Callithrix jacchus: one gene and its partners. The protein of the gene in region 2 interacts with the protein of the main gene of each other region in a pairwise test. Links are inferred from orthologs where the notes say so. Each region holds a gene or a part of one and is shown on either strand. Other genes may lie near its edges.

Region 1 (3,749 bases), on a different chromosome or scaffold from region 2:
AAATAAAACAAAAAAGATATACTACAAGGCTACAGTCACCAAGATTGTGGCATTGTCAGAAGAATACACAAATAAATCAATAGAATCTACTAGAGAGCCCAGAAATATACTCACTCAAATATAGTCCACTGATCACTGACACAGGAGCAAAGACAATCCAATGGAAAAAAAGGATAATCTTTTAAATAAACGGTCCTAGAACAACTGGACACCCACATACAAATAAAGGAATCCAGACACAGATCTTACACTTCTTACAAAAATTAACTCAAAGTGGATCACAGACATAAATGTAAAATTCAAAACTATAAAACATCCAGAAGATAACATAGGAGAAAATCTGAATGACCTTGGGTTTGCTGATGACTTTTTAGATACAACACCAAAGGCATAATTCATAAAAGAAAAAATTGGCAAAATGAACTTCATTATATTTTTAAAATATATCTTTCTGTTCTGTGAAAGATCCTGTTAAGACAGTGAAAAGACAAGCCACAGACTAGGAGAAAATCTTTGCAAAACACATACTGGTGAAGACTGTTATCCATAATATAGAAGGAAGCCTTAAAATTTAACAAAAAGAAAATTCAATTTTTTAAATGGGCAAAAACTCTGAATAGACACCTCAGCAAAGAAGATACACAGAGAGTAAATAAGCATATGAAAAGAGGCTAACATCATATGTCATTAGGGAACTGCAGATCAAAACAACCATGAGATACCACTACACACATATCAGAATGGCTAAAATCCTAAACACCAACAACAGCAAATGCTGGTGAGGATGTGGAGCAACAGAAACTCTCATGCATTGCTGGTGAATGAATGGTTAGGCCACTTTCAAACATTGCTTGGCCGTTCTTACAAAGCTAAGCACAGTCTTACCATGATCTAACAATCATGCTTCTAGGCATTTACCCAAGTGATCCGAAAATTTATGTCCAAACGAGAACCTGTACATGAATGTCAGTAGCAGCTTTATTCATAATTGCCAAAATTGTTAACAACCAAGACATTCTTCAATAGGTAAATGGATAAACAAACCATAGTACCTCTATACAGGGGAATATTATCCAGGGACAAAAAGTAATGAGCTATCAGGCCACAAACAAACAGGGAGAAAACTTAACTGCATTTCAGCCAGTCTGAAAAAGCTGGGTGAAAATATGGAGACCATAAAATCATCAGTGGTTGTCAGGGCTGGCAAATAGGGCAGGAAGGATGACCAGGTGGAACACAAGAGATTTTTTTTTTTTAATTGGGGTTTCACCACGTTGACCAAGCTGGTTTCGAACTTTTGACCTCAGGTGATCCGCCCGCCTTGGCCTCCCAAAGTGCTGAAATTACAGGCATGTGCCACCATGCCTGGCCCCCACAAGAGACTTTTAAGTGCACTGAAACTATTTCGATGATACTGTAAGCGTGGACACATGACATTATGCATTTGCCAAAACTCAATGAATGTAAAATACAAAAAGTAAATCCTAATGTAAACTATGGGCTTTAGTTCATAGTAATGTAGCAATATCTATTCATTGATTATAAGAAGAAAAAGGAAAAAAAGTCAATTGTGAAGCTTTTTATTTTATTTATTTATTTATTTATTTATTTATTTATTTATTTATTTTGAGACGGAGTCTCACTCTGTCGCCCAGGCTGGAGTGTAGTGGCATGATCTCAGCTCACTGCAACCCCTGCCTCCCAGGTTCAAGCAATTTTCTGCCTGAGCCTCCCAAGTAGCTGGGATTACTGGCACCCACCACAACGCCCAGCTAATTTTTGTATTTTTAGTAGAGGTGGGGTTTCACCACCTTGGCTAGGCTGGTCTTGAACCCCTCACCTTGTGATTCACCTGAATGGGGCTCCCAAAGTGCTAGGGTTACAGGCATGAGCCACTGCACCTGGCCGTGAAGCATTTTTAATACTCCTTATAGGTTTGGAGCGCTGAACTTTCTGATCATGCTATTATGTACAAAAGTTTGCATTCCGTAAGATATGTCAAAGTTGCCTCTCAATAGACATTCAGTTACTGAAACTCACACTCATCTGTCTCAAATAATGCTACACTGTGTTCAGGATACTTACCTCTGCCTTAGTAGAAATGAGTTTCCTCAGAGGGCTGTGTAGACAAGAGGTTTTCTAGTGAGACTTACCTAAATCATGTGACTGTCTTCTCAGTTCACCTAGAAAAAGAATTTTCAGTCCTTCATGGGTCTTTCTCAGCAAGAGTACAGACTGTTCAGCATGTTGGCTGGGAGTACATGGAAATAGATGTTTTCATCCTACACTCCCTGAAGCCCCTATGCAGATCCAATTACAGAAAGCCTAGTGGTGGTAGCAGGCTCCCGCAGGCCTCCTTTAGGCGGAGTCCTCCTTTGAAAGCACCAGCCAGTGACCCCACAGGCAGCACATACACAATAATGGCATTGTGTATTGGAAGGGCCAGATGCTATTATGACCCTTCACCTACCTTGTAGGCTGCCAACAGCAATGGCAGAGGCAGGAGAAACATTAATGGGGCCTCGACTCGCACTTCACAGCAAAGTAGCATGGGAAGTTTGAAAAGACTCTCTCAAAGTCACTGTCAAGTTGTTAAGGACCTGGGTCACCCTGCATCCCCATCTGGGGCTCCTTCCATATCAGTTTCTCTGAAGTTTAGTCTAACTTCTTGAAGTGAGTCAAGAAGAAGCTATTTCCAAAATTGGATATTGCATCTATAAGACACAAGCTTCACTGATGTCATGGAGTCTATGAGACACAAACTTCAACCTCGTATCATGGAATCTGGAATGGTAAGAACAGAGGAGGGAGCAAGCAGCCCATAAGAGGTCACTAAGCAGCTTTGGGTGCTGGGAGTGGTCACTACCAGAGGCTCAGCTTAGGAGGGCAAAACACTTCCCATCTTTGCCCAAATTGCCACAGCACCCAGCACAAAGCTGTAGGGGTTTCTTTGACTATCAAGAGACCTGTGGCCCCAGTGTGTTTTGAAATCGTGCTAACATGCTCTAAGGAACAGAGTAGGGCAGTAAAAATTGCTGGTCTGTGTTGATTTTCTCTTCTGCAAACAGCTCAGCCATCATTTCACACACAAGGAAAGAACTGCTGTCCAATGCCAGGCCCAGAGCTTCTTGGCTTGTGGCAAGTCTTTGGAAAGACAAAACCTAACTTCATTCATTTTAGCTGAAAGTACTCTGTGGTGGCATTTTTCTGGTCTCCAACTAAAAAAGTGAGTTTGACAAACAAAACATGGGGCATGACTCTAGCTCTTAATAAATTCCAAGCCTTCTTGGCCAAACCATTACTGGGCAATTTCTAGGAGAAAGGTATTCTCACTTAAAAAAAAAAAATTCCAGTTATCAGGGTCCTATGTCTGTTTATCTTTCTTTTGAGATGGAGTCTCACTCTGTCATCCAGGCTGGAATGCAGTAGCATGATCTCAGCTCACTGCAATCTCTGTCCCTGGCTTAAGCAATTCTCCTGCCTCAGCCTCCCAAGTAGCTGGGACTACAGGCATGTGCCACCATGCCTGGCTAATTTGTTGTATTTTTAGTATAGACGGGTTTTCACCATGTTGGCCAGGCTGGTCTCAAACTCCTGAGGGTAATCTTTCTGTTTCAAACTAAAAAGTATTATGTTATTGCCATAAAGAACATTGAAGAACTTGAGGAGGTATCACTCTGCGGAGCATAATGAGGTGAGGGGAGCCTTGAAGCCTCTGGGACTTTCTTCAAACAAGAAACCATCAGCTA
Region 2 (3,749 bases):
CTTTGAGAGGCCAAGTCAGGCAGATAGCCTGAGGTCAGGAGTTTGAGACCAGCCTGGACAACATAGTGAAACCCCATCTCTACTAAAAATACAAAAATTAGCCAGGTGTGGTGGCAGGCACCTGTAATCCCAGCTACTCAGAAAGCTGAAGCGGGAGAATTGCTTAAACTTGGGAGGTTGCAGTGAGCCAAGATTGCGCCATTGCACTCTAGCCTGGGCAACAAGAGTGAGACTTCATCTCAAAAAAAAAAAAAAAAAAAATCCCCTAAATAAATATAGAGCACAGCCAGGCACAGTGGTTCATGCCTGTAATCCCAGCACTTTGGGAGGCAGAGGCAGGCAGATCACCTGAGGGACAGGAGTTCAAGACCAGCTTGACCAACAAGGCAAAACCCTGTCTCTACTAAAAATACAAAAATTAGCCAGGTGTGGTGGCACATGTCTATAGTTCCAGCTACTTCGGAGGCTGAGGCAGGAGAAGCGCATGAACCTGGGAGGCAGAGGTTGCAGTGAGATGAGATTGCACCACTGCACTCCAGCCTGGGCATCAAGAATAAAATTCTTCCCCCCCCCCAAAAAAAATAAATATCATACAGCATCTACTCTGTGCCAGGAATTGTGTATAAAATAATCTCATAGGCAAATCAGGGTAAAATATTTCAGATTAAAGGAGTTTCAATTAATTCTGAACCACTGGACAGAGATTCGCCCATGAGACAGTCGGAATGTGAACACTGGGCACTTCCTGCCAGCAAGGTTCTGGGCCGTGCACTTTACCTGCTTCACCTCATCACCACCTACTGTTAGCCCTTTTCACAAAGGGGGAAACTGAGGTGCAGGCTGATCCAGTGACTTGCTCAAGTCCCTTGCCAAGAACTGGTGGTGCTGGGTTCTGATGCCCTGATGCCCTGGCTGCATAGATACTCATCATTAGAAAAATGGTCTTAAAAATGGTCCCAGGTTCAAGCAATTCTCCTGCCTCAGCCTCCTAAGTAGCTAGGATTATAGGCACGCACCACCATGCCCAGCTAATTTTTGTATTTTTAGTAGAGATGGAGTTTCACCATATTGGCCAGGCTGGTCTGGAACTCCTGACCTCGGCCTGTAATCCCAGAATTCCAGGAGGCTGAAAATAGAGGATCACTTGAGCCCAGGAGTTCAAGACAAGCCTGAGCAACACAGCAAGATCCCATCTCTACGAAAAATATAACACAAACAAACAAAATCCCTGGTGCTCTGTGAGTCAGATCCGGGCAGTTGGCAGGAGCTTCTGAGAATATAGAAGACACTGGAAATATCTAAATTGAATAATCTTCAGACATGTTTGCAAGACCTAAAGGTAGGCATCAATACTTCACCCTGTGGATGTTTCTTTCCTTGGCCGGGCGTGGTGGCTCACACCTGTAATCCTAGCACTTTGGGAGGTCAAGGTAGGCAGATCACTTGAGGTCAGCAGTTCCAGACCAGCTTGGCCAACATGGTGAAACCCTGTCTCTACTAAAAATACAAAAATAAGCCAGGCGCGGTGGCTCACGCCTATAATCCTAGCACTTTGGGAGGCTGAGGTGGGTGGATCACCTGAGGTCAGGAGTTCAAGACTATCCTGGCCAACATGGTGAAACGCCATCTTTAAAAAAAAAATACAAAAATAGCTGGGCATGGTGGTTTACACCTGTAATCCCAGTTACTTGGGAGGCTGAGGCAGGAAAATCACTTGAACCTGGGAGATGAAGATTTCAGTGAGCGAAAATTGTACCACTCCACTCCAGCCTGGGCAAGAGAGTGAGAATCCACCTCAAAAAAAAAAAAAAAAAAAAAACGTTTTTTTCCTTGATCTAAAGGCAGCCTAGGCTGCGCGCAGTGGCTCATGCCTGTAATCCCAACACTTTGGGAGGCCGAGGTGGGCAGATCACAAGGTCAGGAGTTCGAGACCAGCCTGGCCAACATGGTGAAACCCCGTCTCTACTAAAAATACGAAAATTAGCTGGGTGTGGTGGCATGTGCCTGTAATCCTAGCTACTTGGGAGGCTGAGGCAGGAGAATCACTTGAACCCTGGAGGCAGAGGTTGCAATGAGCCAAGATCACGCCATTGCACTCCAGCTCTGGGCAACAGAGCAAGATTCTGTCTTGGTGGGGAGCGTAAAAAAAAAAAAAAAAGGTAGCGTAAACCCATAGGCAAGTTCTGGTGCAGGTCCCTTACCTGAAAGCCATAGCCTCGTGTCTCTGAGATCAGGATGCTCCCTGGGGAGGGGGATTGGAGTTCAGCAAGAATATCTTCCTTGGAGGTGGTGGAGCTGGGCCAGTGCCAGCAGGGGGCCTCCTCCTGGCCTGTGCTGGAGTCTCTGTCCCACTCTCCCCGCCGCCCCCTCCGCAGGGCCCAGGTGTTCGAACAGAGCCACACCAGGGCTGGAACGGCAAACATGGCAGCCTGCAGCCCGTCTCGCTCTGACAGGCTGTGGGAGCACAGTCTTCTACTCTGGAGCCCACAGCAGCCTGTGCCCTGGAATTTTCTACTTGGTTCTCCAATTCCTAGCTGGACCCTGCAGCAGCTGTGGTGTTGAACAAGGAAGGCATTCAGTCATTAGCTCAGCATTTAAAAGGCTTTGAGGACAGGGTCTTCAGTTTCCAGGGACTGACCCAAGTCACCAGCAGGGTTCTTGAAATGTTGCCCTTTCGGTCATTTAGCCAGCGCGTCTCCTCTGCAGCCCATACGGTCTTGAGAAGAATTAGAATTTTTATAGCAGGGAGACAAAAATTAAGTGAACTAGGCTCCTGACAGCCAAGTGGGAATTCAAGACGTCCAAATTGAAACTTTGATTTTCATTCCCCACAAATCTGGTTTCTCCTCCAGCCTTCTCATTCCAGCTAATAGCACCTGCATCCTTTCTGGATGACTCCAAGCACACGGCAGGCATCATGGACTCTGGTTCACACCCTACATCCTCTCAGTTACAATTCCTGCTGGCTCAACCTTCAGATATGACCCAGAATCTGCCCACTTCTCATCACCGCCACTGTCCCGCCGTCCCTCCCTCTACTCCCGCAATAGTCCTTGACCCGCTGTAATCACCTCCCAACTCAGTGGCCTGAGTGACCCTGTTAAAACCAAAAGCAATCACCTCACTCTGCCCAACGCCGTCCGTGCCACTCTTGTGGCAAGATGGTGGCAAGAGCACCCCTCCTGCAGTTCCGGAAGCCAAAATTGTGTTGCTGAAAGATCCTTTGTCTCAGGGCTGATTTTTCTTTGCGGCACCGAGCATCTATTTCCAACATCTATTCCCAACAGCTCCCATATCGCTTCCAGTAAAAACTAAGGTTTTGCAGTGGCACCCAAGCCCTCTCTGCTCCAAGCCTCCTATCCCTCCCGACACCTTTGCTCTGCTCCCAAAATCTGCCAGACAGCCCCAGGGCCTTCGCATGGGTTCTTCCACCTTGGACACTCTCTGCCCAGATATCCACAGGGCTCCCTCCCTCCCTCCCTCCACACCTGCTCAGGTGCCTGTTCCTCAAGAAGACTCTCCCTGATCTCCTCAGTTAAAACCACAGCTCACTCCTCCTCTTCCACCTCTGCCCCAGCTCTTGGCACCCCTTACTCTGCTGTCTGGGTGGTTCATTTTTCTTTTTAGTCGTCGCATTTAACACCTTCCAACAGACAAAATGTCCATGTATTTTCGTGCCTGTTATTATTCCCTCTTTTCCTCTATGAGGGAGACTCGCCTCTGAGAGGTGGAGATCTTTTTTCCATATT
Region 3 (3,749 bases), on a different chromosome or scaffold from region 2:
TAGGACAGATATTTGTAAACAGGAATTTGATTTTCTACAATGACAAATGCTATACAAATTTTATTCCTCATCTCTTCGTGAAACTTTTGGTAAAATATTTACTTCTTGTTGATGTTTTTATGGAGTTGGATCTATTCTGAGGCTATGTTTAAGTGTTGAGTTCAGCCTTAATGGACAAGAATAGAGGGAAACTTGAGATACTCAATGCAGCAAAAAAAGGAACAAGCTGGCGAAGAGGCTGCATTGTGGTAATATAAGAGCACATAAGGCCTGCCTTGGTATCCATCACCCTTAGACATCAGACAGTCACTAAAAGTTGGAAAACTGATTTTTGAGTGCAGATCTGTAGTGTCAAAATCAGAAAGACTCACATTATAATCCTTGATTACAGTCACTTGGTATTTCCTCTCATCCGCCTCACCGAAAACAATTGGCATATCCTTCTATTAACAGTAAATTCCAAAATTCATGTGTTCTCAGGAAGTTTTTGGCATAGTTAAGTATGCACTTATTTAAACAGAAATTTCCCAGCACTTACCCCATTGTATTATGGGCTTGGTTCTCCATGTCAAGAAACTGCTACATCTGGTTTATATTTCTTGATTTTTAACCTGTTGGAGGAAAATGACACAAATTCCTAAAATGTTTATATTCATTAACCTATAAAACATAAAAATGTTCCTACTGCAAAAACCACTTAGTATGAGTTTTTCTGTATAGTAGTAGCTCTTGGTCCTAAAAAATATAGAAACTTGAATTTGTTTTGTGGAGTTTTTTGTTTGTTTGTTTTTTGAGAACGTGTCTCGCTCTGTCGCCCAGGCTGGAGTGCAGTGGCGTAATCTTTGCTCACTGCAACCTCCTCCTGGGTTCAAGCAATTCTCCTGCCTCAGCCTCCTGAATAGCTGGAATTAAAGGCGCACGCCACCACACCCGGCTAATTTTAGGGACGTTAGTACTTGCCTAAAGTTAAAATTTTTAAAAAAGTTTTTCACGGTAACAAAATTTTAGCTAAAAAATATTCTATGACGATAATTGGAGAAAGTATTGAAAACTCCTCTGAATCACTGAATAAAAGTTAATTAAAAAGGATTCAAGGGAGTAGAAAGAGGAGGAAGATTCAGACTCACAACACTTCCAAATCGAAGAGTTTAAGCGAGACCCAGGAATTGTGTGCGGGGCAGACTGGAGACGAGCAGGGATGGTGAAAAAAAAACTTGACCAGAACGAGCAGACGAATAAATGGTTTTGTAGGTTCTCAAATCCCTCACTTAAACGTCAGGGAAACTGAGGCACAGACAAGTTAAGTGACTTGCCCAAGGCCACACGACTAGAGCCCAGGCCTTCTAACCTAGGGCGCAGCTCTGCTCTGCATTTCCAAGGGCGGGCCTCCCCTCCCAGCCTCTGTTTCCCCGCCACGCGCCCCGACGGGACCCGCGCTCAGTTCAAGCCCAGCCTCCTGCAGAGCAGCCGCCCTTTTCGGGGCCCCCCTGTCCCGCTGGATATCCCGCGCCAGCCCGGCTGAAGGGAGAGGGTGAGGTTCAAGGGCGAGGAAGGGCCGGGGAAGCTCAGAGCCATTACCTGCGCTGCACCGCACCGCGCCGCGCTTGCCCGAGAGGTCTGAGGCCCGGGGCGCAGGACCGCGTAGGTCACCTCCCGCCCGGCCAGGCCCGCCCCAAGGGGGCCCGCCACCCGCCGCCGAGCTCCCGCCGCCTAGGCCCTCCAGCCGCGCGGCCCTCTAGGCTGTTGGGGCTCTCCCTCCCAGCGCGCCGCGCCGCCGCTGGTTGCCATGGGGACGTCGCGGGCAAACTCGCGGCTGTCGGGGTGGGGGAAGGGCGAGGCGGCGGCGGACGCGGCCCTTGCGGGGGCTCCTCGGCTGCCTCCAACCTCGCCCCGCGCCAGCGCGACCTCGCTATCCCGCAGTTATGTGTCCAGTGTCCCCTGTATTCTGGGATTTTCTTCTTTGTAGTCCCACTGCTACCCCAGGGCCCAGCACCCAGCTGCAGCCCGAAATACTTGTTGACTTAATGAAACAAGGCGATCACAAAGGTACTGTAGACCGCTGGGGAGTTGTCAGCCAGGTTCTTTAAATCCCCTTGGCCCTCTTTCCTCTTACTCAAATTTGAAGTGGTATGAAAAAGAAACGTGGGGTAAAGAGAACTGATTTCCTTTCCGTTCACCCGACTGTCTTCCAGCTGGGAGGAGCTGGATTTCACTGCTCAGTCCCTGGTTTCTGTGGTGACTCCAGCTTGTACCTGGCTTTCCCGTCACCTATGATGGGTTCTTAGAAAACTGCCAGTCAGGCGAGCGGGACAGTGTTGCCTCCCTTCAGGGAGAAGGGAATGAATGGCTTCTAAGTGGAGAAGCTGGAACGAAACTCAGTGGGACTGATTCCAAATTCCTTCCTTTTCCCACCAAATTCCAAGAGTCATTGATGACAAATTTCTCTCTTCATTTCATAGAGGAAATGATAGGAAAGAATATATGTTTTCCAACTGACACCTTGAGTGATCTGTTTTAAGCACTTGAATTTTGTGTTTGATTTATTTTAGCCACAGAAGTCCTTCCTAATACATGGAGTTGACTACTTTTTATTCTTAAAGTCTTTTATTTGCACTCTACTTTCATCACTTTAACGCTCATTTTCTACTTTAATATTCTATCAATTTAATGCTCACCCACATCCCTCCACCCAGGTTCCCTCTGGATTTTATAAAACCATTATGCTGTTTCTTGACAAATTGAGCTTCACAGATGAATAGAGTAACCTGGGATATTAGTTCTAATAAGTGTTTCATAGCTCTCATGTTTGCATGAAGAGAGTGATCATGCCATTTTAACCTGAAACTTTTCATTATTCTGAAAACTCTTAGTTATATTTTTTATTCTTGTCTGAATTGACTGGGTCAATGTATTTTTTCTAACCCAAGGAAGGGAAAATGGAACAAGGAATGAAATTTAGTGAAATCTCAGATGCCCAAGATCACTAAGGCTATGTAACATTGGTAAGTACCTCCATGTTCATTATTACTTTAGAGGTTCAGAAATACCCTATACACTTAGCAAGTGTGTCAGATGTTATTAATAGCTCCTTTCAGAAGATTAGAAAACCCAGGCTTAGAGAGAATGAAGGATATGTCCATGGATTTGTCCATCTACTTGCACTTGAAATGGATGATTCATTGAGACATGAACCTAGATCATCTTACTCCAAATCCAGTGTTCTCCAAACATTAAGATTGAGTTGGTTTCTTTAGCAGCCAGGATCTTCCTTAGTAAACCGTAGGTTTCATGTTTTTACACAGAAGAGAGGTGCAGGGGAAGGCTTGTGAAAACGTGTGATAAGACACATGCTATAATGGATTTTAGGAAAATTTAAATATAGAATAGGAACACCCCATTCAATTGAATACAAATAAAGGTTTTCATTTCAGGATGAGAGTTAAGATTTTAAATGCAAATACCTGTCCCCTACCCTACTAGTAAGAAGTAACTGTGAAGACTTGAATTAACCCTGAAATGTCTTTATTATTAGATATTTTCAGGTAAGTTTGTTTTGAAAGGGATGAGAACAGGAAGGCCCCAGTCTAAAGGACAGGACGAGTGTGGCCAGGTGCAAAGCTTTCTAAACAGGGCTAGTGAGAGGTGACAAGAGAACTTAGTGATGAAAGAAAATTGGAGAACATGGCAAAGTGACGATAAGATAAAATATAACCAGAAATGGTCAAAGGAGAATATAGTGGGAATAAATG

Evidence for each region.
Region 1: the proteins of KIFC3 (region 2) and CLIP4 interact in binary tests that used the Homo sapiens proteins (3 or more experiments, as listed by UniProt). The two-hybrid records come from large-scale screens. The link is inferred for Callithrix jacchus from reciprocal best matches to the Homo sapiens genes KIFC3 and CLIP4.
Region 3: the proteins of KIFC3 (region 2) and DEUP1 interact in binary tests that used the Homo sapiens proteins (3 or more experiments, as listed by UniProt). The two-hybrid records come from large-scale screens. The link is inferred for Callithrix jacchus from reciprocal best matches to the Homo sapiens genes KIFC3 and DEUP1.

The regions. Positions count from the first base shown.
Region 1 is NC_133515.1:85,967,796-85,971,544, forward strand, and holds the start of CLIP4 (CAP-Gly domain-containing linker protein 4), read right to left. Parts: upstream 2,371-3,749; 5' UTR 2,154-2,370; intron 1-2,153.
Region 2 is NC_133521.1:15,731,158-15,734,906, forward strand, and holds the start of KIFC3 (kinesin-like protein KIFC3), read right to left. Parts: upstream 2,449-3,749; 5' UTR 2,424-2,448; coding exon 2,202-2,423; intron 1-2,201. UniProt on the Homo sapiens protein: Minus-end microtubule-dependent motor protein. Involved in apically targeted transport. Required for zonula adherens maintenance.
Region 3 is NC_133511.1:46,998,997-47,002,745, forward strand, and holds the start of DEUP1 (deuterosome assembly protein 1), read right to left. Parts: upstream 2,378-3,749; 5' UTR 2,253-2,377; intron 2,047-2,252; exon of another isoform or gene 1,835-2,046; intron 1,780-1,834; exon of another isoform or gene 1,579-1,779; intron 612-1,578; 5' UTR 568-611; coding exon 539-567; intron 1-538. UniProt on the Homo sapiens protein: Key structural component of the deuterosome, a structure that promotes de novo centriole amplification in multiciliated cells.